4 linked regions of the Diceros bicornis minor genome follow. The protein of the gene in region 3 interacts with the protein of the main gene of each other region in a biochemical or structural test. Links are inferred from orthologs where the notes say so. Each region holds a gene or a part of one and is shown on either strand. Other genes may lie near its edges.

Region 1 (7,175 bases), on a different chromosome or scaffold from region 3:
AAGGATGTGCAGCTATGACATACAACTATCTACTGGGGCTTTGGGGGAAAAATAAATAAATAAAATCTTTAAAAAAAAAGAAAACACCAAATCCTCAGTAAAGTATTTGTATAAGGTCAGTAAGCTAGCTATCAGCATCATTTGGGTAGGGAGCTACCAGGTCACAAGTTTGGAAAGCACATGAAATTTGAGAAGAAAAGCAAATACCCAATGAGAAGATGAAAACGGTTTTTCTCTACAAGATGGGCCTTGTCTCCCGGTGGCACTCCCTGACTGGGCTCTTTTCAGCTTGCCAGCCTACAGCCAGAAGGGTACACAAGGAAATCACTAAGGTGCCTCAGACTTTAAAATTCGTCGGACTGCAGAAGGTAACTAACTACAGGATGGTCATTCTGGTCAACAACTGACTTCGCAAAGTCTTGCCCCTTACTTAAAAGTATAATACTGGAATAACAATGCCAATGGGAGGGGTGACAAAGCATTGAGTGAGCCTCAACCTTCTGTCAGAATCACCTGAAGCTCTTGTTGAACCACCGCCCCCCACCGCCCAGTTTCTAGTTTTACAGAATTGGGCTGGAAAGGGTGGCCGAGACTTTGCATTTCTAACAGGCTCCCAGGTGATGCGGATGCTGCAGGTGTGAGCACCACACTTTGAGAACAGCTGCCCTAAAGCATGGTAATAAATGTTTCACGTGCACTGTCTCCAATGGCAGGAACTTGAAGAAACTCCCACCTACAAGAACAAAGGTGTGTGTGGAATAGCCTTCTCCACGCATTTAAGAACAAGTACCCCTACAGGAGCAGCTCAGCAGAGGGGATGCGAACACAGGAACTCAGGCTCCAGAGCCAGACTGCCTTGTTTGGGATCCGCTCTACTACCTACTAGCTGTGTGATCCCAGGCAACTTAACCTCTCTTCCCTTAAGTGCCTTCACGTGGGAAACCGAGCTAAGCGCTCCTTTCCCTCCAGCAGGGAAACCGGAAATAAGTGCCTACCAAAATGAGCAATGGGAAGTCCTCACCTCCCCATTTCCACGCACAGACATTTTGAAAATCCACAAACAGAAAGTGCTTCCAGAGTTCCAAGCCCTGCCTCCAACAAAGGAGACATTTGCCTACTTCGTTATTATGTACAGTAGACACATCCATATTCCTTCTTCTGCGCCCTCTTTCCTTAAGAGAAGGGCCACCATACAGCCAAGAGATGTCCCTACACCTACTGAATACACCACAATCAAGCATGGGAGCACTCTTCCCCTTGGGATCCCCTAGGCTCTCCCATAAAACAAAGGAATGATCACCCGAAATTTACACAGTGTTATAAGCCAATATGACCTCAAGTTAAAAAAAAAAGGGGGGGGGGGAATGATCAGAATACGTGGGAAAGATGAAACGGTTAGGGTCGAGAAACGAAAGACCTAATAACCAACCTAATAACCAACCGAGTGTGATTAAAGCCCAAAGGTTCACGCCCACCTAGTTAGTAGTCTCAGATACTAGATGGAAAACTTTTAATTAAGAGCCTCATCTCTCTGAGCGGATTTTCACCTCTGTCCTTCTTCCCAGCTCAGGGACCCTTCAGTGGTTTTAGGACCATAGGACTCCCGGGCAGGAGCACCTGCATCAAGACCATGGATCGCTTCTCCAAAGGCTAGAGATCCCGATAAGACCCCACAGGCTTCAGGGACACCATCCCCAGAGTGATCCTCAAAGGTGGAAGTGCAAATATTATTTATCAACAGGGAAAGGGGCTGGTCGAAGACATACCGCAGTCGTGGCTGTGTGTGTCCCAGGCAAAAGCAAAACTTATTCAAGAACAGTGTCCCCATTCACTAACTAGAAAATAAAGTGTTTTTTTACCCACATGAAATTTGCCACAACTAGGTACCAGGACACACAGTGAGAGGCATACACAGGAGGGAGACAGAGAAAGACAGATGCAGGCAGACACGGTCATAGAACACAGAGAAAGGCCGGTGGAGTTGAAACGCAGCTGTCACGTAAGGAATTTCGGAAGAGGTGGGGACACTTTTGGGAGATGGCAATAGTCCAGGGCAGTGCAGTAAGTAGCCTTTGGTTGACATTAGATAAAGCAAGCTGTTCATAAGCTGCTTGGTTAAGAAAAAAAAAGGGTGCAGCTTTAGTTCAGGAGAACTGCGAATCCCTGCGCGGTGCAGGGGCAGCCGGCCAAGGGCGGGGTGTGGGAGGGCCAGTCGGTCCTCCCGCTGGGCAGTGATTTCCCCCAGGCAGCCTAGGTTTTCTGGCTCCCCACCTCCCGGGCACTGGAGGCTGGCGGAGCGAGTGGCAAGGAAGGGAGACCCTGAGCCCACGCCACCAGGTTCCCGGGTCCCCCTCCCTGGCCCTACTCCCGCCCACCCCGCGCGCCGGGGCGCAGGCGGGGACCACGCGGCCGGCGTGGGGTGGCCCCACCGGCGGCAGGAAGCCCCGGCGGTGCGGGCGGCGGCGAAAAGCCCTCCCTGGCCCAGACCCTCGGCCCTCCACCGCCAAAAGGCGCCAGCAACGCCAGGCACAGGCACGGGCCGGCGGCGGCGGGGTGTCGCAGCCCGAGCCGGGGTGCTCACCAGAAGAACACGCGCGAGCAGATGTTCGCGTCCCTCAGCGGGTTGGGCTTCGCCTCCGGGTACACAGACAGCATCTTGCCGGCAGAGGCGGGCGCGGGCCGGGGTGGCGCTGTGCGGGCGGCCGCGCCGCTCTCGCTGCTCCTGGAGGTGCGGGCGACGATGCTGGAGCTCGATCCGCTCGGCGGGAGCCTGAGAACCACCCGCTTCCGGGAGCAAAGAGCCCGCGGCCCGCCCCGTCCCCGCCTCCTGGGCCGCGCCGCGGGGAGCCGGCAGCCGGGACCGGGAGCGGGAGCGGGAGCTGCGCGCCGCGTGCGGGGCGGCGGGGGCGGCGCTGCCGGGAGCCGCGCGCGTGCGAGGCGAGGGGACGGGCGAGGTTGGATGGAGGTGGGTAGACTGACCACGCGGCACGCTGGGCCCGGCGCGGAGGCGCCCACGTGCTCGCACCTGGCTGCAGACTTGCCCAAGTTCGTACTCAGAGCCAAGGCACCCACCCAGAAGGTGGAGAGGGGAGGCGCCGGCTCTGCCCGCCCTGCTGCTCAGAAACGCCCCTTTGGCTGCGGCTTTCAGAAGACCGGGATTTAGCAGCCCGCCTTCTAGGCTCGCTGCCCTCATCAGGACCAAAAAGAGAGCTGTGGAAGGCTCTCCAACCTGCGGGCCAAACATTTGACCTAAGACAACAGCAGGATTTAGCACAGATTATCTTTGTAGAGCTGCAAGACCTAAAGAAAGGTAACAGAAGATTAGAAGAACTCAATGATTTTGGAAGATGAATGCACGTCATTAGGGGCAGGCTTTTGGCGTCTCACATGTTGCGTTATACGGGGGACCTCTGCGAGCTTTTTGCTGCCCTCTTAGACTGGGAAAAGGGGATATAGGGAGAAAGAGACTGCCTTATTACTTCCTTCATCCTGCCCTCAGAGCCTAGCAGAATAACAGTGGCACACGGAACGTACATTACAGAACACCCGTTATGCACATTCCTGGGGACCTTACCTCACTTTGAACTCTAACAATGCCCGAGTCAAGAAGGTATCCTTATCCCTATTTTACAGATTAGAAAGATGAGGCTCAAGGACAGAACTTGTCCAAGGTCTTAAGAGTCAGTAAATGATGAAACCCGATTTGGACTCAAGTCGGAATCCAGCGTGGTCTGTCTCACTGGGGGGTGGTCAGTGAGCCTAAAAAGTGTCTAGAATACGCTGGTTGAATGAACGAACGCATGATTGTAGGACTGAATGAACAAAATCTTGGACTCCCACTAAGTCTTCAGTTAGTTGTGAGGCCATCTTACCAGCTCAGGAGGTTCTCTTCTCTTCAACCCTAAATGAAGAAAGATCAAAGGTTACAAGTTCGTGGGGCTTATTACAAGATCACTTTACTATTCTCTGATAATTTCCCATGTATCTTGGCTGAAATGATGTTATTAATAATGGCTTTTAGTTTCAGTTATGCAAGATGAATAAGTTCTGGAGAACTGGTGTACAGTAATGTGACTGTAGTTGACAATATTGTATGTGTTCTTGAAATTTGCTAAGAGAGTAGATTTTAGGTGTTCACACAAAAAAGGAAAAGGAAAATGGTTAAGGTGTGAAGTGGTGGTTATGTTGATTGTCTTGGTTGTGGTGAATATTTCACGATGTACATGTATGTCGAGTCATCAGGTTGTATGCCTTAAATATATACAATTTTTGATTGTTAATTATACCTCAGTAAAGCTGGGGGGAAATGGCATTTTTGTGTATGTGTGTGAGGAGATCAGCCCTGTGCTAACATCCGCCAATCCTCTTTTATTTTTTATTTTTTATTTTTTTTGCTGAGGAAGACTGGCTCTGGGCTAACATCCGTGCCCATCTTCCTCCACTTTATATGGGACGCCGCCACAGCATGGCTTGCCAAGCAGTGCGTCGGTGCGTGCCCGGGATCCAAACTGGCGAACCCCGGGCCCCCCCAGCGGAGCACAAGCACTTAACCGCTTGTGCCACCAGGCCGGCCCCAGGAAGTGGCTTTTAAAGAAAGCCTTCCTGTATTCAAACACTTTTTAAAAGTCAAGCATATAATAATGGCAAAATATTGATAATAATTTTCAACTGATGGGTGATGGGGGTTTACTATACTATTTTCTTGCTATTTCATGATGTTTGAGAATTTGTTACAAAAAGGAAAGACAATTAGAGCTGAACATTCTAAGAAAACTGATTGTTCAATTACTTACTTTTCTGTACTAGCTCTTTCTCAGATATTGTAATCTACAACCTAAATAGTCAGCCCTCACCTTATTTACAGTTCTCTTTGAAACTCCTTAAATTTTCCAGCCCTGTAAATGCTCAGCTATCAGTTCTGCTTCAAAGATGAAGAATTTGCTCGCTCAAGTTAGAAGTCTAGTGCCTTCTCTTGTCAGACTGCCCCAGACCACTCTCTCTAATCCCCACAGTTCTCAGAACCATAATTAGCAGTCTCCGAACTGCCAGAAACACTAGTTCCTTCAGCTTCTGCTGGGTTTTTTTTAACTACGATCTTTTGAAACTTCTTAACATTTTTTTCTGACATTAACTAATAGGATATTTAGAAGAGATATTGAGAACCAGTGTTGAATTGTAGAGAAAAGACTGGATTTGGAACCAGGGGACCAGTGATCTAGACTTTTCACTTATTACCAAATCTGTCTGACCTTTATTGTCCTCAGGTCTAAAATGGGAATCAGAATTCCCACTCTTCCTACTTCCTACAGGGTTAGTGTGAGCCTCACAACTTGGGAAAGCACTTTGTAAAACCTAAGGCAATGTACAAATAAAAGGGTGGTTTTTTTCATTCATTCAACAAATGTTTAGCGAATGCTGTCTAGGTACTTGATCGCTAGGCCAGGCATGGAGCTGGCAAAAATGGGAAAGATGTCATAAGACCTCTATCTGCACTTGTTTACTGATCTTAAGTGGTTCAATACTATAACTAAAAAGACAGTAATAAGTATTAGAGAGGATGTGGAGAAATTGGAACCCTCATACATTGCTGGAGGGAATGGAAAATGATACAGCGGCTATGGAAAATAGTGTGGCAGTTCCTAGAAATGTTAAACATCAAGTTACCATCTGACTCAGCAATTCCACTCCTAGCTGTTTACCCAAGATAAATGGAAACATAGGTCCACGTGAAAATTTACATACAGATGTCATCGCAGCACTATTCATAAAAGCCCAAGTTGGGGGATGGGGGGACCAAGTGTCCATCAGCTGATGAATAGATAAATAAAATGGGGCATTACATACGATGGAATATTATTTGGCATTTTATAAGAAGGAATAAAATACTGATGCATGCTACAACATGGATGAACACTGAAAATATTATGCTGAGTGCATGAAGCCAGTCATTGACTCTAGTAGGGATAAGCAGAGAATACCTAGGGAGAGATTCAATCTTGTTGTACTTCATGATTCATTCCCAAACAAACCTCGGGGCACAAGAAAAAAAATTGTGCCTTGCAAAGTATAAATTACTAAATGATCTACAGGATCCCTCTCAAATAGTCAAAGCGTTAAGTGTTAAATCTGCAGTAGGTATAAGAGCTAATGCAGTACTAAAATGGTCCAGCTAAGACAATGCTGGTCCTCAAGCATTTTTCTACCAAGACATATGGGACAAATGGCATTCACAATTTAAACATACTCCATTGGGTATCCGTAGCTCCAAATATGGTGACAACTGTTCTGTCACTCCACCTTCTAGTAATAGTCTCCACCGCCATAATCTCAGGGGTGGGCACATGACACAAATCTAGCCAATCGTAAGATACCATGGCCGTCTCCAAAGGGACTGGCCCAGAGATAAGCTCATGGCCCAAGCCAAGCCAACTGGCTTTCTTTCTTTTTGTTTTTTTGAGGAAAATTGGCCCTGCACTCACATCTGTTGCCAATCTTCCTCTTTTTTCCTTTTTCTCCCCAAAGCCCCAGTACATAGTTGTGTATCATAGTTGTAGAGTTGTAGCCCTTCTATATGGGACACCACCTCAGCATGGCTTAATGAGCAGTGAGCAGGTCTGAACCAGCGAACCCCAGGCCTCCGAAGCACAATGCGTGAACTTAACCACTGCGCCACTGGGCCGGCCCTGGCTTTCTTTTTTTGAGAATTTTTTGGCTGGAGCTAGAAAGAGAAAGCCTCATTTTCCTTTCTGATCAGGGAGTTCTAAAGATATGACCCATAACTGGTGGTAGCCATGTCTCCCATTGTGATGGAAAGGCCTGAAATAGTAAAGCAGGTACCCAAAGGAAAGTCATACAGTCGATTAACTTACAGTCAACAACTATTTTCTAAACACAGACTGTGTGCCAAGAACTGTTCCAGGAGCTAGGGATATGTAAGTGAACACAATGAGAGTAAAGGAGAGTCTTGGTGGCATCGAGTCTCTGGGGTTCCTGAAGCTAAAGGATTAGAAGCTAAAGCTTAAATTGTGTGACCTGCTGTGGCAGAAGCTATTACTTTTCAGCTCATACCCCCTGGGCACCTCTCCAGAACTAAGGCAGCTTACTGTTTATCTGCAACTCTACTTAAGGGTCTTTTTCTAGCTATGGAAGCACTTTGAGGCCATATGCAAGGCAAG
Region 2 (7,244 bases), on a different chromosome or scaffold from region 3:
GCTCCCAGGAACCCCCCGCCTACACTCTGCTCTCCCTGCCAGGGGCTGCGATTGGTGGGGAGGTGCCCAGAGGCACTCCATCCCTCCTCCCCTGGGGGTAGAGACAGTATTCCACCTGTCTCCTCCTTCACATCCACCAACACTCACACACACATCTCGCTCCCTCATTCACGCACACAACCACCTTCTCATGCACACTCATACACATTTCTCTCACTCACACACACACATTTCTCCCTCATTCACACACAACCACTCTCTCATGCACACTCATACACATTTCTCTCACTCACACACACACATTTCTCTCACACACATCATCTCTCCCTCATTCACACACACAACCACTGTCATGCACACTCATACACATTTCTCTCACACACATTTCTCTCACACACATCATCTCTCCCTCATTCACACACACAGCCACTCTCTCATGCATACTCATACACATTTCTCTCACTCACACACTCACACACATCAACTCTCCCTCATTCACACACACAACCACTTTCTCATGCACACTCACACGCATTTCTCTCACTCGTGCACACACACACTCACACACTCTCCCCCACACACTCTCCTCCAGATCATAATCAGCACAGTGCGAGGCCCACAATAGGGCCCCCTTTCCCAACCCTGGCTGACTTGGTGGGGAGAGAGCTGGATTTTGGATTAACTCTCCTAGATTCATACTTTCATACTGAAAAAACTACCTGAGCTCTTGTCTGGCAGAGGTCTAGGATGAGATTTAAGTGGCTTAGAATATTTTCTGGTAAAAGCTACCAAAACAAAGCCCTAGAGCCACAGTGCCTGGGTTTGAATTCTGGCTCCACCACTCACTGGCTGTGTGATCTTAAACAAGTTACTTAGCCTCTCTGTGCCTCAGTAATAATTCCTACTTCCCAGGGCTGTTATGAGGACTAAATGACTTAATATTTGCAAAGAAGGTAGAACAATGCCCAGCAAGTTGTACATGCTACATAAATAAAATAAAAAGTAATTATTTAACTGAAATCAGTATTCACTGCCCATTCACTCACTGCCTCTCATTCATTCGGTTTTTGTTGAACACCTACTGAGTTCATTAGGCCAGACATGAAGGGCACACGCCTCACTATCTAGTAGGAAACACACACACAACAACAGTAAAAACAGTTTCTTTTCTTTTAGGAAAACGTGATAATTCTAAGCAGAGATTTGCACATGATTCTAAGAAAGGCCAGGGAAAGAACATTTACCTATTACCACGTAAACTCAAAAAAATCACCAAAAACCTACAGTTAAATCCTTTGAATCCATTTAAAAGAATGAATTCGGTCGAACTGATTTGTGTATTTAGATTTAGGTTCTGTACACACAAGCATTTTGGAAAATATTCCCATTCAATGCCATCTACTCAACCTCTCTGGATGTTTTTCTTCCTCCCTCCCTCCCGGATCTCCTTGATCACTCAGAAAATAATCTCCCAGCTCGCCCCCAGGCCTCAGTTAAGGGGTGGGAGAGGGGGTATGGTTCAATCAGACCAGCCCTCAGTCACTTTTAAAAACAGCTTATAAATATTTGGGAGCGGGAGGGAGAGGATGGAGAAAAACCCAGTAACTAGGAACGTCTCTACTGATGAACTGGCAGCGGTTGCATTTTAAAATCTTGATGGTTTAACTCAAACCACTTTGTGAGCTGGTACACGTTTAATGACTGATGGAAAAATGAAATTCAGTCAATCCGCACCCCTCCCCCAAATCCATTCAATCCTTTTGGACGAAACCGCTTTTAAATGCACTGAACCCAGTCAAGCTGGTGTCTGTGTTTGTAACTCAGGCCGTCCACACCGACCCTGCGGAGTCCGGATCCTCCGGCGTGAGCCGCGCGGGGCTCCCCGGCGGCGGCGCCCAGGCCCCCGCACCTCTCCCTCCGGCTGCTGCTTACGTGCCTACACCCAGCAACCGGGGAAGCGCTCGGCACTGGGAAGTGGCTGGCGGCTATCACTAGCGGCGGGCCTGCTGTCGATCCCCAGCCCTTCCCTGGCGCACGCCGCCCGCGGACAGCCCCCCGACGCCCCCGAACTTCAGCCGCAGACGCTGCACGTGCGGTCTGGCGACTTTCCTAAACTCCAGGCGCCGGGATCGCGTCGCCAGACCCGGGGCAGGAGCCGCCGGCGCAGCGCGGGGACCCGCGAGTGCAAAGGCTGGGAGGGGAGCGCTGCGCTCCCGCCGGCCGGCCTCGGCGGAGGAACCGCAACCGCCGCCGATGCACTCTCCTCCCCGGAGACTGCGATATTGATCCAGAGTTCCGAGGCGCGGGGGACATTTATCTCCACGGATTTGAAGCTTTCAGCGGAGGAGAAGGGATAGGAAGGAGCTCCCAGGAGCAGGGCGGGGGCGTGTGGAGTGGGGGAGCTGATGAGAGGGTGCTGGGGCGGGTGAGGAACCCATCTCCAGGGCCTCCTGGCCGGGTCTGCATGGGAGGGGTGGCAGGGAGAACCAAGCGTCGACTCCCAAAGCCTAAAGCGATTCTCGGCACAGAGCTGGTTACCCGGGTGGGCGGACCCCCTCCTCCGCCAACATCCCGGCCGCTTCGCCACAACGATTTCTTTTTTCACCTGAGTTCTCTCCCCACCCACCCAGCACCAGCTCCAAAGGTCCAGGGAGAGGGAGTTGGGCTGCCCCTCAAACCCCGGCCGCCCCCGACCTGTGCGCAGCTCTTCCCACTGACCCCCCATCACAGCCACAGCCCACCCGTGTCCCGCGCCGGCCCGGGGCTGGGGGCGCCCGCGCTTCTCTTACCTTGACGAGCCGGAGCTGCGGGCGCCGTCCCATCCTCGGGCTCGCTCGGTCACCGTCCTGGACGCCTGGGTCTCTCGGACATCCCAGAGGGGCCAGCCGCGGGGGCGGGCTCGGGCGGGGCGGGGATGGGGGGCGGCCTGGCTCCTCTGTCGCTGCCCTGCGCCGAGGCGCCCGGCTCCGCGCTCCCCGGCCCGCAGCCCGGCCCGGCCCGGCGGGCTCTCGCTCTCCCCTTCCCGAGGAAGTCCGGCCGCCGTTTCCTGACTCAGCCCGGCCCGCAGCCGCCTCTCGCCCGCCGGGAGCCCGCCTCGCCCCCGCCGCCTCCCCCTCGGTCCGCGCCGCTCTTCGCCTCGGCTCCCCGCCCCCTCGCCTCGGCGTCCCCTCCCCTCTCTCCCTCTCCCCTCCCTTCCCCTTCGGTCCCTCCTCCGCGCCTCGCCCCTCTGCTGCCTCCGCCACCCCGCCTCCCCGTCCCCTCCCCTTCCCCGGGCCAGCTCCTCGCGCCCTAGCCGCGCTGACCCCCTTTCCCTGCGCCCCGGTTTGCGGCAGTCGGCGGGGCGCACTGGCGGCAGTGGCGGCAGCCGCAGCCCAGGGAGAAACCGGGGATGGGGTTGGGGGGTGGGGGGAGACGCGCGGGAGAGGAGGCAGCCTCTCAGCTCCTGCCGGCTTGAAGTCCGGGCCTGGGGAGTCCAAGGAGTCTGAGGGGACTTGGGGGCCTCTGGCAAATCTATGGGAGCGAGGCTATTGGAGACTGGGGAATAGAGCAGCCCCGGCTGAGGGGAGCCTCCGCGGAAACCAGGTGGAGCTGAGGACTGCGTTTGGGCAGTTCCCGCCCTGCATCCCGCGGGGAGAAGGTCCTCACTGCCCCCGCCTCAGCGAGGCCTTTGGCGCTGACACCCCAGGTGCGCGCAGGGACACGAAAGCTCTGCGGAAGAAACCTCATTCATTCATTCATTTCATTCATTCGTTCTTTCATCCATTCATTCATTCTACAAACTAAGCGCCTGCCCAGTTTGGTCCCAGCAAGGGGCTGAACCTGGGAACCCCAAGATGAAGGGGAGACGGCGGTGCCCTGCAGGACTAGCGGACGTCTGAACGCTGCGGCGGGGAAAGCGGAGCGCATTGCGCTGCGGCGGGGGGAAAGCAGCTAGGAATCCAGCGGGCAGAGTGTAGAGGAGGCCACAGCGCCCCCTCTCGGCCGAGCCCTCAGGGTAGGGATCAGCACCCGCGTCCCGGTCTTCATCGAGTTTGGCCCTCTAGCTTCCCATCCCACCTTCAGCTCCGGGAAGCAGCTCCCGCCTCTTCCAGCCCCTTAAACTTTCCCCTCCAGCCCCTCCAGTTGGACAGAACTTTTGGCTTCCTTCTATCTCTTCCTTCCTCCCGCCAGCGCTGAGAAGGGAGATAGAGAAAATCACTCCACTCACAGAGCCTCGGCCTGCAGCGCCAACCGCAGCCCCTCCAGAGGAAGCCAGAGCTTCTGGGCGGAGCGCGGTCCCAGAGTGGTAGTCAGCCGGCTCTGAGATCAAACTCTGAACCCAACTGCCCTGGATTCTGTGTTCTGCCGCGCCCACGCCCCTCCTGCCTTCCACCCACTTCTCAGCACACTGGGCAAGAGTCAGCACGCTCACGATTCCAACTGGTTCTTCATTTAGAAAAGGAGTTATTGTAAGAGGTCCTGTGATCCAACACGCACAGTTTACTGGTGAGGAAACTGAGGCACACAGAGAGATGGTGACCTGTCCAAAGTCCCATAGCTGGCAAGCCTAGTCCTCAGTCTCCTGATTCCCAGCTTAAAGTGCCTGGAGGGCTGGGCCCTGATGGGGTTTGGGGCTCTGAGGTGGGGAGGGGCATTGCCCAGGAAGCCAGCTGGTCACACTGGCTTAGCCACACGGGGAGGCTCTTTCTAAATAAAGCACACAGTCTCCAGTCTGGCAAGACTCCCATTAGAGCTGGTCATGCTGAATCGTACACGGACTAACCCCAACTAATTCTAGAAGAAACGGATGTACCAACCAGATGGACAATTTATTGCTCTCAACAAAAACTAAATGCAGAGTGGTCTAGTGTAGTGCGGGTTCTGGAATTAGGCAGCCTAGCCTGAGTTTGAGCCTTGAGTCTTCCACTTACAAGCTATATAAACCTGGAAAATTATTTGACAGTGCCTCAATTTTCTCAACTATAACATGGGGGTGGGAATACCCACCTCATAGGGTTGTTGGGAGGTTTAAATGAGCTAACATTTGTAAATGACTTGGAAAGATGCCTGGCACATAACAAGGACTTAATGAAGGTTAGCTATAGTCACCATCACTATCATCATCATCATCATCATCATCATCATCATCAAGTGGACCAGATCCTCAAATGTATGGGCAGGGTGATCCCTCCTCTAAGCAATTCTCTGTGGGAAGCAGAATTCTTGATTAGAAGGCCACAGCAGCAGTGGATTGTGGAATCAGAGGAGAGGAAGCTGGTGGGTCCTCAGGGAGGTTTGCCTAGGCCCTGCAGAGACTTCACTCCCCAGACCTGCCCCACCTTGGAGCTGACTCTCCAGGGACCAGACAGCTCCAGATTTCCAGATTCTGTGTTTCTCTCTGCTTAATATTTTGCCTTTCTGAGCCCTGTCTTCCTCCCCTTGACATGATCTTGAAATATGCTAATGCCATGGGTTAGGCTGTAATCAAGTCTTGCTCTTCTTGCCTTTTTGGCCTGGGATTCAGACCTTCTCTTTCTAAAGGGGCACCTACAGACGGCACATTTCATCCCGCTGGTGTTGATGGTCTGTGTTGATTTTGCTGACTTAACTGGCACTCCCCCACTCCACCCGCCCCCCCCTGGAGTTGGCAGGAGGGGGCTTCTGTACCACTCCGGGATACTTATTCATAGTTTTGGCCTTGACCGCTTTGTGAGGGTTATGAGAGTCTCAAGTTTAACACCCTCTTTGTAAAAAGATTCCATATCCCCTTTCATTTGTCCTGAAACTGCTCCCTTCCACCTTCAAAAGCCCGGCTCTCGTCTGCTCTGCTTGGTGAGGATGCCAGTGCCCAGGTCTTCCACGCCCTTTCCCCCTCAGCCCCAGCTCTCCAGCCAACCAGCCCAAGGCTCAGGGTGGTCTCTTTAGGCAGCCTCTCCACCCTCCTCAGGACAGCCTCCTGCTCCATTCCAGCATTCTCTTCACAGCCTGACCTTCCCCAAATCTCTCCTCTTCCTGTCCAGGCCTAGACCAGAGTCAGCTGTCATTTGTGGAACCAAATTTGGAGGAAAGGAGAAATATGAGGAATCTAAACAGGAATAAAAGACAATTCCAGGTCCTTCCAAACAGTAGGAAAGACAGATGTGAGAACAAGTAGTGATGGTGGGACCCAGGGAGGGAGGGCTGAGAAGGCCCTTCTGCCTGTGGGGCTGTGGGGTGCCATTGGCTTAACTCTGGTCATCCCAGTGAAGTCGATGGTCTGGAACCATACTTCTCAGACTACTTGTGCCGAAGAACCAGTTCTTGATTTTTAAACTTCTATCTGTTGCAGACTGATACGATTGCAAAATAAAATGGGAATGAATTATTAAAAAATGAAATAAAAAATAAAGACATACAAAATAAAAGCCCAATTTTTAAAACTATCATATCCAATGGACATAAAACTACTCTGTGAAATTGCTTAAAATTTTTTAAATGCTTCCCTCAATTTCTGCACTTAACCTTGTCATGGACTGGCAACAAATAATCTGCAGACAGATCAAGCTTGGAATAGCACTGGTCTGGAATGCTTCTGAAGTATGAGGTCAGGAAAATGGCCTCATGGAGGGAGCAGCTTACAAAATCGCATGAACATTGGGGGAGATGGTGTTAATTACTCCATTCATCTGTGCATTCATTCAACAAACATTTAATGAGCAGCAATTATGTGCCAGTCACTTGGACGCCATGGCTAATAAAGATTACTACAACAGGGCCCTAGCCCTCAAGATGTTCACAGACTGGAAGGGCAAGCCACTTTGATAAATAATTAAAAGCTAGTGAAATCAGGTCAATAATAGACCAGGCACCATGCATGGAAGCAGGAATATCAATTCTGCCCAGGGCCAACAGGGAAGGTTCTCCCAAGGAGGTGATATTGTGCTGGAGTCTGGAGGCAGAGAGGCAGATGTTTGCTCGCATATGGCCAGCTGGCACTCAATAAACGAGTTAATATGTGTAAAGTGTTTACCGCAGTGCCTAGCACATAGTAAGTGCTTCAAAAGTGTTAGTTGTTTTGATTATTAAATTTTGTAAATTATCATCATCATCATCCACCCAGATCTACCCAGCAGTGTGCGTAACTTTGGCTGGGGGTTGTGGGGTTGTAGGTAGCTCAGCTGGGGGAAGAGAGCAAACTGGCCTTGACACACCCACTTTGTCAGAGGAAAGATCTTCTGGAAAAGGTGGGTTGGGAATTGTGTATTGAAGGAAATGGGTGTGGACAG
Region 3 (7,311 bases):
CCATGTTGTAGTAATTACTATCACTCTACTGTCTTATTACCCACTACAGCTTCCTTATTCCAATTTTTCAGAACTAGCTTGTCAAGTTCCACCAAACAAACAAGCAAATAAACAAACAAACCCTGTGGGAAGTTTGATTGGAAATGCATTAATCTGTAGATCAGTTTAGAGAGAATTAACATCTTTACAGTGTTGAAGATTCAACCCATGAATATGGTATAATCTTCATTTACTTAAGTTTTCTTTAGTTGCTCTCAGTGATGTTTTATAGTTTTCTAAGAATATGCCAAAATATTGATGCCCTCGATCTTTAGGGAGTCTGGGCAGAGCTTGGGGCAGCTGGCCCTAGGCAGGTCACCCTAGCCTTGTAATGCCTCATCTATTTACCCCGGTGAACTATACAACTCTTATCAATTTGTTTTGTGACGTGGAGGGGAAAGTATTGGGAAGCACTGGGAAGTCTTTCTAGTTTTCTGTTTCTGACCAGTTTTACAAAGCGCTGAGTTGTGAGTGGGCAAGCATGCCATCCACAATGCCCCAAACATCCTGAACTCCTGAGTCGCCCACTGTATACTTCTAGCCCGTTTATTTCCATGACTCTGTTGTACAATGTGTGCCCATGAATTATGAGGGCATAACTTGCAAAAACAATAATAACAATGTTATATACTGAGCATTTACCAGGTTCTGGGTGATTTACAAATGTTTTCTTACTTAAGTCTCCAAGAAATCCTATGAGCTTGTTATATTACCTGTGTTTTACAGATGAAAAAACTGGAGCTTTGAAAGGCAAAGTAGCTGCTAAGTGACAGAACTATTTCTGGAAACACGGCAGACTAGATAATCTGAAAACCCTCCCTCTACATAGTTCATAGAAATACTAGGTAAAATATATCAAACATTTTTTTCAAATAGATAGTTGAACTTGAAAGAAAGGAAAGAAATCTCTCAGGTCCAGAAGTGAAGAGAAAGCTGAAAACCGGTAACCAAGCAGGGTCACTTTGGCACAGGAGGTAAGACCCAGGAACTGATACCCTGCATAGAGCTGAGACTCTCTGAAGGCTACATTCTTAGTGAAAGGTGGGCTAAAAACCAGTCCTGCTGGCAAAAGGAGATTCATTTATTCACTCATCCATTCAGTAACATTTTTTGAAAGCTTGCTATAAGCTAGGCTTATATTCCAGGCACTTGGGACACAGCAAGAAAATAAATAGGCATGCCTGTTCCTGGGGAAATTATATTCTGAGAGACAGAGATAATAGAGAGACATAACATAATCCATAAACGTAATATATAAGTAAGATGAAGGGGGATATATTTATGAAAAAACAGAACAGGGAAAAACTGATCATGGGTAACAGGGAAACTATCTATCTTGGCCTGGACTCTGGGAAGAAAAAAACAGATCTCTCCTGGAAATTCCCAACCATAGCTCTGCTTTTAGGGGGAGGGGGGCTGAGGTTGTAACTGACATTAATTGTTTGCAAGATCTGGAAACACCAAGGCAAGCAACTAACACAAATTGGCTCCAAGTTTTTAGTGCCTCTCCTTGTCATTCTAGGGATATGGAGAAGGGCTGTTGGACAAAAACAAGAGAAAATCCTCCACCCAGGCTGCCAAGGGTTCCCATAGACAAAGCCCAGACAAACTTGAGCTCACAATAAAAAAATACAAAACTTATTGATGGCAGATTTAGGATTCAGTAGCTGTTTGATACCAAAGCCCATGCTCATAACTCTTACCTACATGCACCCAGGACTTATACTACACACTCTCATGGGGAAGGTTGTCTTAGGACCCATGGTATTTAGGATCACAGAATCTTAGAATTGGAAGGGATCCAAGAAATTGCCTACTCCAATCTCCCTCACAAAGCAGGACATCTTTCTGTAACATGACACAGAACACCACCAGCCTCTGCTTGAATACCTCTAGGGAAGGAGAGCACATTTTTTCCCTGGCTGGTGGGAAGCCTATCCTAGAGGCAAAACAACACTACCTAAGGAGACAGACAGGGTCCTTAATCCTTCTGAGCCAGGTGATCTTGGGCAGGATAATTACCCCCATGAATTAAGCTTTCTTATCTGTAAAATGGGAATATCATCTCATCGGGTCATGCTGAGGGTTAAATAGAATAATAGATATAAAGGCTTACCAGGCACACAATAAATAATGTCATTTTACCTTCTCACTAGTGTCTAGATCTAAGTAATCAACAAAAAGAGTTACTCTGCTTAGCATTAATCTGAGCAGATCTACTTATAGCCATGAGATTTTTTTAAATCCAAATTTTAGTGAGGGCTCATCTCATTCAGTTCAACATTCTGAAGCGTGGTACCTGAGGGTTACTATCAATATTCAATAAGGGCAGGATTACCTTTCGACCTAGTTCCCAGCACAGACATAGATGAAAAGAAGTTAGTCTTGTCAAGTTGCTGTTTTCTTGCTCAACCTGAGGGGTGACTCAAGGGTCACAAGGATTTATGAGCTTGTTTTACAGAAGAAATAGAATGCCTTCAAGGAAGTTACAGTCACCAGAAAAACAGCCCCCAGCTGCCACTGATGCCCAGAAGTCAGATTGCCCAATGGCTTATCTGGAGTGAAAGAAACCTGGGGTTACCCCTTTGTTTCTCCAAAACTCCTCCTGCCAAGCCCCTTAGCTCTATAAAACCCCCTGCTTTCTTGTCTTGTGAAGGTGAATTTGAGAGAACCTATCCTCTCGCCTTCTCATTTTGGCCAATTCGAATAAACCTTTCTCTATCTCCAAGCACCAGGTGTCTCCGTGATTGGCTTACTATATATCAGGCACATGGATTTGAGATTAAGAGGTTTGGTATCAATTTCACTGGGAAAGGGTTTTGTCATTTTTTAAAAAAAACAATTGCTCATTTCTATTTAATTTTGAATGAACACTGTCTCTGCATGTTAGGGCCTCTTCTATTTCCAGTCTGAAGGCTTGTGGCTGTTTGTTCCATCTGTGCTGGGATAAAGGGTGAGTCTGAGAAGCTTCTTGAATGAAGATTGACTTTGTTGTCATCCAAATTTTTTTATTTTAGAAGTTTCAAGAATAAATTTACTGACAGGCTCCTTAATTTAAAAATTAAGGTATTATTTACATGGAATATAATCCACATATTTTAGGTGATAGCTTGATGAAATTTGGTAATTGTAGTCAATTGCATAGCCATTCCCACACTTAAGATATAGAACAATTCCATCACCTTAAAGTTTCCCCTTTAGACCCCTGATTTGAAGACGGACATTGACCAATTGGCTGGCGTCCAGGGTGAGAAGTTTTGAAGTCATGGCATAGGCAGACCATGTTAAGGAATGAGGGGCATTCATGGAATCCCAGAGAAAAGAAGACTTATGGGGGATATAACAGCCTTCAAATATTTGAAGGGCTGCTCTGTAGAACAGCTCCAGAGGGAACCATTAGGACTTACAGGCAGAGGTGAGAGATATTTTGACTCAATATAAAAAAATTTCTAAAAAACAACTATTTATAGGTGATGAAGGCAAGTGAGACTCAGAGTTAAAAATAAATTACTCTAGATGCAACACCTGGAAGTGGCAGAGTCAGGCATTCTGATCTTGAATCCAGGTTTTCCCATTCTACACTTCTGCTTCAGAAGACATACAGGAGGCCCAAGGGACATAGTGTTAAGGTGGAGATGACCTGATCTGGGTTAGCGGCTCAGATGTTGGTCCCTTTTGACAATTTACCCTCTGGCTCGGGCCATGCCTTTGCTGGGGAGAGCCAAGGCCCAGCGAAGACGAGTGGCCCTTCCAGCGTGGGTGGAGGAAGGTGAGGCCACCCTGTCCTCAGCCTGTGGTCTCTTTGCCTCACTGCCTGGAGCAATCTCTTGCCCTGATTTCCAGTGTGGGCTGAGGATCCAGGTCAGTGAAAAGCCCAAGGCTAGGTCTGCCTGTGTGGGTGCTGCTGATAGGGATCAGCTGCTGCTCCTGTCTGGGATGAGGGGTGGAGCAGGGCACTGCTGAGGCAGCCAGCCGAGGAGCTTGTGGAAATGCATTCCACCTTCCCCGCTGGGCTTGCCTGAGAGGCTCTGAGTGTGTGGAAGGGGAAGACAATTGTCAGTAGGTTGGAGAATAGAAACAGAGCACCCTCAGTGAGATAGAGAGGAAAAAAGAGAGAGACAGAGAAGAGAGAGTGTGTAAGAAGAGGAAGGGAGCCTGGGAAATCATAGCAGGGGCTTTATGCTGAACTCCTAGGAAGCATGCGAGGAAGAATTCCCCGGTGGAGGAAAGGAAGGATGGGCACACGAGGAGCTTTGCTTCATTTACTGGGGCTTATTGGCCTGCTGACCTTCTACAGGGTGGGGGTTGCACAGGTTACTGCTCCCCAGGATGGCCTCAGTACATGAAGATACTTGGGTGATGACCCTCAGCCCTGACCTTGGGATGGGGACAGTGGAGGCTCTTAACGCATTGGGTGTTGGTTGGGTGTGACCAAGGTATTAGCCAAAGTGAAAGAACTGAGGAAGGCAAAGACATCTCCTCCCTGGCTGTCCTTCCCTCTTCTCTCCCCTCCTCTTCTCTGGGAGGAGCAGGCAAGCAGCGACATCCCACACAGTTAAGCAGGTGGGTCAGAGCATTGGGTTTGCTGAGCGTTTTTCAGGTTTGCCCAGCTCAGGGCCCACCCAGCTGGCAGAAAGCAGGACAGAGGTCACTTGAACTCAGACCACAAGTCCCTGTTAAATACATCAGCTTTTAAATCAATCTTTGTTCAAAGTCCACGGAGTTCCAAGACTAGAGCTCACCAGCAGAGAGAAAATTCCCGAGTGACCGGAGCAGCTCCTCTTCCCCCTAGATCCAGGTAAGGAGAGTCTCTGCATCCCCCTGACTGAGGGTGCTGGCCACCTGGGCCTGAACCACCTTCTTTCTTTTCCTTTTTCCTTTTCCAAGCAGTAGCTGGCTGTCCAGGGCCAAAGAGAGGCACATGGGGAAGGAGCCGGGCCTATTGGTGGTGGTGGTGGGGTGAGGGATTGTCTGTACTCTGAGATCCTTTCTGCTTGTGATGCCCCGACCCCTACAGGTTAGGGTCTGCTTTACAAAGGCAATGGTAAACTGAGCCTCGGAAAAAGCTTTCCCAGGGTTGCATGGGGGCTTGATGTGTAGCCAAGGAGAGTGAGATAACAGACTTCACAGGTCACCAGGAAGATACTCACAGGAACTTCCCACTAGGTCAGGGGTCTGGGTATTAGAGATTTTCTTTTGGAAGCAGCCCTTAAGGGATAAAATCTAATTTAACTTTCCCACTGGATAATAAAAGCAGGCATCTCTCCTCTTTTCATCATGTTATAGCACTAAGAAGTGAGGAAAAACCAGTGGATTTCTAGGCTGGCTGAATTTTAAAACATAGATCTCCAGGCTCTACACTTTGGAGTTTCTAATTCTTTGGGTCTTGTGTTGTTCTGAAAATCTTTGTTTTTTTAACATTCCCCCAGATGATTCTGGCAGGCAGGTTTGGGAAGCACTAGTAGCTTACTTCCTATACAGAAGAGTCCAGGGACTTAAATGTGACTTTCATGCTCAGCTCAGGAGACACCAGCTCAGGGCTGGGCTGGCTCCTCAAGAACAGTCCTCTTTAGCTGTCCCTGCAGTGTTGCACCGATGAGCTTGCAGTCTGTATTCAGACGTCATGGGGGCTGATTGTCTCAGGACATGGCTGTCTAGTTCCCTGGTCACATGTTCTTTTCTACAGCAAATAACTCAGGGACTTTGAGTTTGTGTGTTATGACTAAGTAAATTTTTCTTATCTTTGACTCTTTTGTATGTTATTTGAACCATTACCCATGAAGTTGCTAGTAATGATGTCTTATGTTCATGGACCACTGGCTAGACAGCTCCTTCCCATCCAGGGGAGAGGACACAGGACTAGAGTACAAAGAACCTGCATTTTGCTTTAGTTGTTAGTGACAGACCATTAGACAAGTCACTTAGCCAACTGGAGCCTCAATTTCATCATCTATCAAATGAAGGCCTCTCGTCTTTTCCCCAAGGCTGTACTGAAAATAAAATTACAAATATGGTGTGTTTGAGGGGATTAAAAGCACAAACATAAGGTGCTTACACTCAAATGTGTATATCCAAAGGCTTCATGGAAAAGTGGGAAGAAACAGCCTTGCAGTCAGTGGGGAGACCTTGTCCCAGTCTTTTCACCTCATCAAGCTTTTCTTTATTCACTGGTAAATAAAGAGTTGAGACTAGCTGATCACTAATGTCCTTTTCAGCCCACCAAGTATAAGGTGGATCCTGGAGTTTTCAAGGCTGCCTCCTCCTTGTCATTTGGGTATGAATTCAGATGTTACCTCCCCAAGAAGGGCTTCCTAAATCAGCCTCCCCCAACTCCACCACTATATTTCATCATTCATAGCCTTTATCATCAGAAATCATCTTGTTTGCTTTTTATTTGCCCCCTTTGCCAGATGTTTAGCTTTAAGAGAGCAGGGTTATTGTCCTTTGTGGTACCTGCTATAATCCCAGCTCTGAGGACAACACCTGACATAGAGTAGGTGCTTAGATATTTGGATAAATGGAAGTTAGTGTGGCAGGGCAGGAGCTGCAAGAATAGAATCGGGAGGTTTTGAGAAGCTGCTTTTAGGGAGAAGAGGCTGCAGAACTCTGATACTCTCTCAGGTCATCTGAGGTCTGGGTCTGATCATGTGGGAATGGGCATCTCTGGTCATGTCTTGGTTAAATGATTTTCATATCTGTTGCAAAGGAATTTGATGAGAGTAGCAAGTTAGAGCTAGACATGTTTTCTTCCAGATCTCAGTAACTCCTTTCCTTGGCTCTTCATGAGGGACTGCCCAGATTTCCTTAATCTCTTTGCCTGGTGTGTATCATGGCGAAGTGATTGAGGGCATGGGTATTGAAATTGGAAACCTGCCTTCTAGAGCAGGCATATTCTTAATCTCTAAGTCTCTATTTCCTCATTGGTCAAATGAGCATAATAGAACCTCGTTCCTAATGTTATGAGGATTAGATGCGAGACTGCACATAGTGCCTAGCACACCTTAAATATTACTGTTCTGGTGATCATCAGACAGCTTTGTGAGGGGCATAGCCCCAGGGAAGGAAAGAACCCAGGCAGTGACAAGGAGTTTTGATAAGTAGGAAAGATAGCCCCTAGCCTACTCAATGGCAGCTACCGAGGCTTTGCTCTTGGTCTGAGACAGCCTCCAGCTTCTGAGGCTGCAAGCCTCACATGACATGAAGCTCTTCTGCAATCCAAAGGATTGAGCTTAAGGTGCTTCACAGTCTAACCTGACCTTCTTCCTTGAACAT
Region 4 (7,295 bases), on a different chromosome or scaffold from region 3:
TGGAATACACACGAGATACTAAAAATACTCAAGGTGATCCTGACACATAGCAATGAGTATGTTGCAAAGATATATCGTCTTTCTTCCAAAATGAGTGTTGCTTAGATGATGAGGGTACGCCGCATGATCCCAGATGGATAGGGAGGCAGGATGGTATAATGAATGAGAACATGTGCTTTTGAGTTAGAACAGACCCAAGTTTAAGTCTCAGCTCTGCCTCTTGGTCACTCTTATTACTTCACCTTTCTGAGCTTCAAAACACTTATCTGCATAGGGAGGACTAGAGTGAGTATTGATGAAGAAAATGGATGGGAAGTGATTAACTTGGTGCCCTGACACTTGGTAAGTTTTCAGTTGATGCTAGCTAACGATAACAATAAGATTTGAGACAACAATGAACAAAACTCATGGGGAATTAAATGGGAGGATTCTGTGTGGCCAAGTAAAAGGAGTTGGGACAATTTCATCTGAAAAGAGCCAACCAGAAAGACAAGAACAATTCTATTTAATTTACTTTACATTTTTACTACACCAGTAGTGAATGTTTATGGTAAAAAATAACAAGGTAATATAAGCTGAAATAAACTTAAATTACAAGATTTACCACCAACCAGACATATCTGAATTTTTGTGCATTTGCTTCCTTTCATGTTTCTTCAAATATTTTTAAACAAAAATGAGTGTCTATAATAATGCTGTTTTGTACCTTGCTTTTTTCTTATCACTGTATCATGATCACCTTTCTGTGCCAATTAATAAACATCATTGTCATTTATTTATTTATTTATTTTTGTGAGGAAGATCAGCCCTGTGCTAACATCCGATGCCAATCCCTCTCTTTTTTGCTAAGGAACATCGACCCTGGGCTAACATTCGTGCCCATCTTCCTCTACTTTATATGGGACACTGCCACAGCATGGCTTGACAAGCGGTGCGTTGGTGCAGCCCGGGGATCCAGACCTACGAACCCTCAGGCCACCGAAGCGGAGCGTGTGTGCACTTAACCGCTGTGCCACCAGGCGGGCCCCAACATCAACGTCATTTAAATGGCTAAAAGAGTATTCAGTTACATAGACATAACAAAATTTGTTTCAATAAATTTTTTACAATAATTATCATCCAAGTTGTAAGGAAGGGGACATGTGCCCTGGGCTCAACCAGGGCCAATTCTGGTTCCACTTTAGGAAAGATCCTATGTTCCCTGGGCCTCACCTTTGCCAGCTGTAAAATAAGAATTACACCCTCCAGCATGCAGGGCCATTATGTGGGTCAAATGAACTACTGTATGTAAACGAGTTTTGTAAATAGTGAAGTACTATGTGAACAGTTAGGTTCATCAAGGAAGGTGCTAAACAGATATTCTCCACCACTGAGTCAAAATAAGGAGAAATTTCGTTAACATCCTCTTGATCAAGTTAGGTTGATTTAAAAGAAGTACATCCCTGCTGTAGGCTATGCAGCAGCAGAGGCTTTGACTTGGTTTAGCTGCCTTTGGTCTATTCTCAATTCCTAATTGGAAAAACCAGAGCATAGCTCTGGTATAAACTCTGTCCACTCTCCTTCTCGGGACATGGGGTCCAGAAAAGTAAGTGCCATGTCTACGCTCCTGGATAGCCAGGATAATCCACTTGCTGCCTCCAAATCCAATCCCATCAGTCTTTGCTCTGCCTTTTAATATTATTAAAATTCATACCTATTAATAACATTTAATAGCAGCTATTAAATGCTCACCTTGTGTTTGATCCTTGAAGAGTTTGCAAATGAAAGGAAGTCTGGCTACCTTGGCAGGCTACTAACAGATGCTAGGCTTAATTTTGATACATTTAGAACATTCTGGACCCTCAACCTCTCTAACTTCTAACCACCAGAAAATGAATCCATCTCTTTAAAATATTAGTAAATTGAAACTCTCAAGTAGATTCTCATCTCAAGAGTTTATGTGGTTGAGATGAATGATAGAAATTTCTAGAAGTCTTACATTTCCCACAAATTACTCTTGCATTATTTATATAGCATTGAAAGGTAGACTTGAGTGGCTTGCCTGAAAGTGTACCTCCCTTCCCTTAAGATGTATTACTCTCAGGTATGTGTCAGAGACAGAAAATATTTCAAATAACCTAGATTAGACGTTATTATACTGGCCACCCATTTGAACCACCTGGTAGATTTTTGAAATTAAAAAAAAAAAAAAAACTACAGATGACTGACTCATCACCAAAAGTTAAGTTTCAATTATTCTAGGGGTAATTTTCTAATCTCCTCAGAATCAGTTGATTCTAAGTGAATCTATAGCCAGAGTTGAGTACCGCCAATTGAGGTCCCAAAGGGGTAATAAGCAGATTACAAGCACACACTCTTTCCCTCTCATTGTGCCTCTGAGTAAAACCACTGAAATCTGCATTCTCAAATTCAACCTCCTCTCCCCAAAGAACAAGACCCTGAATGGAAAAAATATAAGTTACACAATCAAATGACCCAGTCTATGAAAAATAGGAAAGATGCTATATGGCCCAAAATTGGAGAATGCTTGGCTAAAGGATAGTAAATCTCCTCAATGCAATATCATGCAGCAATTTTAAGTTATGATTATAAAGAATTTACAGCAACGTGGAAAAAATTTATGCTTTAACGGAAAAAATAAATTATCCATACAGTATGAAGACAACTATGAAAATCAAACTAAAATCGTATGCAGACACACAAAAAAGAATGGAAAGAAATACCCCTAAAATATCAATAGAGGCTAGCTCAGTGAAGGTTTTTGCTTCCTTCTACTTTTTTGTATTTTCCCAAGATTTTTTAAGCTATTGTGTATTTAGTAGAAAAAAATTTATAGTAGAACAAAATAAATCTGCTTTTCAAAAACTGTTCTTCTGACTATGAAGGAATAAGCAAAGGCTTATTCATCAATGAATTCACAAAGCAAAGATAAAAATGCTCACCTGAAGTTTTCTTTCTTTCAGCTGCCTTGGCTTCTGTCTCCTCTCCCTCTCCTGTCCTCCTCCTGCAAGTAATTCAGCTTGTTTCTTTAAAAGAAAAGTGAAACAGCAAATTATATATTATGAACAGCGTCAGCCAATAGCAAGAGAGTAAGGAACTTTGGTCAGCAGGTCAGCTGTGCTTTATAGAACTTGGTGTGGGTGTTGGTGCTGGCTTCCTTCTCAAGAAGGGGGGAAGATTTCCAGTTAGGGGCTACATCTGAGAGGAAGAAACCTGCATTAGCCCTGCCGCTCTAATGACTGTTTTTATTACCGTCTTTCACAACAGATCAAGGGGCTGTGATGAGCTAGAGTCAGGGGTTTTAAGCGGCTTTTAGTTCTCCTAAATGGTTTCTGTTTCCATGACAACAGTCACATCAACACCGCTTTACACGGACAACACTTTAGAGCTGTTTAGAGCACTTCCCGTTACCCACTAGCCTTTTCCAGGGACTTGGTACTCAGGGGGACCCTTACCCAATCTAGTGAAAATGCTCTGTCGAAGATTCCCAACAACCTCCTCATTGCTCAAGTAAAAGGTCCTTTCTCAGTCCTCATCTTCTTTCCTCAACTTGTTGCACGGTTAACCAATGCCACTTTCTTGAAACTTTCTCCCTGTTTCTCTGAGTCTCCTGGTTCTTTTTCTACCTCCCTTTCTGATACCTCTTCTTCCACCCCTTTTCTACATGTGAGCTTGCCCCAAAAGTTTGTTTTTTGAGCAGTTCCCACCGTATTCTCTTGCTTTTATCTACATTATCCACATCCACGACCATATTTAATATAGCCAAAACAGAGCTTTTCTCTTCCTCTCCCAAGCATACACTCCCCCATTTATTCCATCTCATCAAATGGCACCACAATGATTCAACCAGTTAATCTGTCCATAAACCTAGAAGTCATCTTTAACTTCTCTATTTCTCCCACAACCAACATCCAAGCCAACAATTCCATTTGTTCTACCTACAAAATATGTCCAAAATCCAATCATTTCTCACCTTCCTTATCCCCATTAAAATCCCCATCATTTCTTAGATAGAATGATGTAGTAACATCAGGCAAGAAATAAAAGTCATCCAAATTGGAAAGAAAGAAGTAAAATTATGTCTGTTCACAGATGATATAATCTTTTATGTAGAAAATTCTAAAGATTACACACACAAAAAAAAACCTGTTAGAACTAATAAACAAATTTGGCAAAGTGACAAGATACAAAATCAACACACAAAAATCGGTTGTATTTCTATACACTAAGAATGATCAATCAAAAAAGGAAATTAAGAAAACAATTCCATTTACAATAGCATCAAAAAGAATAAAATACTTAGGAATTAATTAACTAAGGAATTGAAAGACTTGTACACTGAGAATAAAACATGGCTGAAAGAAATTTAAAAAGACGTAAAAAAATGGAAAGATAGCCCATGTTCATGAATTGGAAGACTTAATATTGTTAAGATGTCGAAACTACCCAAATGGATCTATAGATTCAACACAATTCTTCTCAAAATCCCAATGATGTTTTCTTCAGGACTAGAAAAATCTATCCTAAAATTCATGTGGGATGTAAAGAGACCCCCAAATAGCCAAATCAATCTTGAAAAAGAAGAACAAAGTTGGAGGACTGAGACTTCCTGATTTCAAAAATTACTACAAAACTACAGTAATCAAAAAAGTGTAGTCTTGGCATAAAGACAGATAGATAGCCTAATGGTATAGAATAGAAAGTCCAGAAATAAGCCCTCACATATATGGCCAAATGATTTTTGACAAGGGTGCCAAGGTCATTTATGAGAGAGGACAGTCTTTTCAACAAATGGTGCTGGGAAAACTGGATATCCACATGCAAAGGAATAAAGTTGGACCCTTACCTAACATCATATACAAAAATTATCTCAAAATAGATCAAAGACCTAAATATAAGAGCTAAAACTATAAAACTTTTAGAAGAAAACAGAGGAAAGGCTTCATGGATTTGTCAATGATTTCTTAAATATGACACCAAAGGCACAGGCTTTAAAACAAAAATAGACAAACTGGACTTCATCAAAATTAAAAACTTTTGTGTATTCAAGGACACTATCAACAGAGGAAAAGGGCAATCCACAGAATGGAAGAAAATATTTGCAAATCACATAGCTGATAAGGGATTAACATCCAGAATATATATAGAACTCCTACAACTCAACAACGACAAAAACAAACAACCCAATTAAAAAATGGGCATAGGATTTGAACAGATTTTTCTCCAAAAAAGATACACAAATGGCTAATAAGCACATGAAAAGATGCTCAACATCAAAAATTATTAGAGAAATACAAATCAAAACCACAGTGAGATATCACTTCATACCCATTAAAATGGCTATTACAAAAACAAAAACAAAAAACAAGAGTTGGCAAAGATGTGGAGAAATTGGACCTTTGTGTACAGCTGATCAGAATGTAAAATGGTGCAGCCATTATGGAAAATAGTATGGTGGTTTTTCGAAAATTAATAACAGAGTTGTCCTGGGGCTGGCCTGGTGGCGTGGTGGTTAAGTTTGCGTGCTCTGCTTCAGTGGCCCAGGGCTTGCAGGTTGGGATCCCAGGTGTGGACCTATGCATCACTCATCAAGCAATGCTGTGGCAGCATCCCATATACAAAAACGGAGGGAGATGGGCACAGATATTAGCTCAGAGCTAATCTTCCTCAGCAAAAAGAGGACTATTGGCAATGGATGTTGGCTCAGAGCCAGTCTTCCTCACACAAAAAATAAATAAATAAAAAAAATTTAAAAAAATAGAGTTGTCATATGATCCAGCAATTCCACTTCTGAGTATATATCCCAGAGAACTGAAAGCAGGGTCTTGAAGAGATATTTTTATACCCATGTTCATAGTAGTATTATTCACAATAGCCAAAATGTGGAAGCAACTCAAGTGTTCATTGATGGATGAATGGATAAGCAAAATGTGATATAAACATACAATATAATATTATTCATCCTTTAAAAGGAAGGAAACTCTGACATATGCTACAACATGGCTGAATCTTGAGGACATTATGCTAAGTGAAATAAACTGGTCATAAAAAGACAAATACTGTATGATTCCACTTATACGAGATATCTAAAGTAGTCAAATTCATAGAGACAGAAAGTAGAAGGGTGGTTGCCGGGGCAGAAAGGAGAGGTAAATGAGGAGTTATTGTTTAATAGGTGCAGAGGTTCAGTCTGGGAAGATGAAAAAAGTTCTGAAAATGGATAGTGGTGATGGCTGCACTACAATGTGAAGGTACTTAACGCCACTGAACAGTGCCCTTAAAAACCATTAAAATTGTAGTTTGTCTTATGTATATTTTACCACAGTTTTAAAAAACAAATAATTAAAAAAATAAATTGGAAGAAGTCTAAAAAAAAAAAAAAGAATGCTGTAGGAACATCCTACCTAATCGTCTTCCTGTCTCCACTCTTGCTGTTCTACGGTCAAGTTTGTTTTTTGTGAGGAAGATCAACCCTGAGCTAACATCTGTTGCCAATCCTCCTCTTTTTGCTGAGGGAGACTAGCTCTGAGCTAACCTCTGTGCCCATCTTCCTCTATTTTGTATGTGGGTTGCCACCACAGCATGGCTTGATGAGCCATGCGTGGGTCTGCCCCCGGGATCCAAACCTACGAGCCCCGGGCCACCAAAGTGGAGCGTGCAAACTTAACCACCATGCCCCGGGCCAGCCCCTACAATCAAGTTTTTAAGGAGTAAATCATATCATGTCTGTCCCCTGCTCGCAACTCTGCAATGACTTCCCAACTTTCTCAAAAGAAAAATCCTTATCACGGTCTACAAAGGCCAGACCTGCTCAGCCCCTGCTACGCATCTCTACAACTTCATCACTAGCCGTGAGGACTTCCCTGCTGCTCCTCCAGGCACATGTGCTGGAATGGCCCTGAACCCTCACTCCCTCACTTCACTGGGGCCTCTGCTTAAATGCCGCCACCTCAGAGATGACTTCCCCAGCCTCCCTTTCAAGAAGAGCTCCCCCACACACACTCTATCCCCTTACCCTGCTTTATTTTGCTTTATAGTGCTCATCACCATCACTCCTTCTTCTAATATTGTATATTTGTTTGTAAATTATTGGATTCCTATGCTATCTGTGCAGACTTCTCAGACTCCCTGGGGTTCTAGCTGGAACATGGCCACCTCAGAAGAGCTGTTAATGCTGCAGCTGCCCTTGTTCTCTTCCCACGCTTAGGCCTGTGGACACTCCAGCCTTCATGTCCATTTCCTCACCCTGCAAATTGCCACCTTTGGCCACCGCTAGGACATAGAGCTACACAAAT

The links.
Region 1: the proteins of PDZK1 (region 3) and ABCC4 form a complex in vitro, tested with the Homo sapiens proteins (2 studies listed by BioGRID and IntAct, with this or other methods). The link is inferred for Diceros bicornis minor from reciprocal best matches to the Homo sapiens genes PDZK1 and ABCC4.
Region 2: the proteins of PDZK1 (region 3) and CRHR1 form a complex in vitro, tested with the Homo sapiens proteins (2 studies listed by BioGRID and IntAct, with this or other methods). The link is inferred for Diceros bicornis minor from reciprocal best matches to the Homo sapiens genes PDZK1 and CRHR1.
Region 4: the proteins of PDZK1 (region 3) and CYSLTR2 interact in a test that uses a peptide from one of them, tested with the Homo sapiens proteins (2 studies listed by IntAct, with this or other methods). The link is inferred for Diceros bicornis minor from reciprocal best matches to the Homo sapiens genes PDZK1 and CYSLTR2.

What each region holds. Positions count from the first base shown.
Region 1 is NC_080748.1:72,019,270-72,026,444, forward strand, and holds the start of ABCC4 (ATP-binding cassette sub-family C member 4), read right to left. Parts: upstream 3,015-7,175; 5' UTR 2,656-3,014; coding exon 2,582-2,655; intron 1-2,581. UniProt on the Homo sapiens protein: ATP-dependent transporter of the ATP-binding cassette (ABC) family that actively extrudes physiological compounds and xenobiotics from cells.
Region 2 is NC_080757.1:44,377,320-44,384,563, reverse strand, and holds the start of CRHR1 (corticotropin-releasing factor receptor 1), read right to left. Parts: upstream 3,008-7,244; 5' UTR 2,823-3,007; coding exon 2,790-2,822; intron 1-2,789.
Region 3 is NC_080743.1:53,251,901-53,259,211, reverse strand, and holds the start of PDZK1 (Na(+)/H(+) exchange regulatory cofactor NHE-RF3), read left to right. Parts: upstream 1-4,288; 5' UTR 4,289-4,837; intron 4,838-7,311. UniProt on the Homo sapiens protein: A scaffold protein that connects plasma membrane proteins and regulatory components, regulating their surface expression in epithelial cells apical domains.
Region 4 is NC_080748.1:28,486,066-28,493,360, forward strand, and holds the start of CYSLTR2 (cysteinyl leukotriene receptor 2), read right to left. Parts: upstream 3,020-7,295; 5' UTR 2,943-3,019; intron 1-2,942. UniProt on the Homo sapiens protein: Receptor for cysteinyl leukotrienes. The response is mediated via a G-protein that activates a phosphatidylinositol-calcium second messenger system.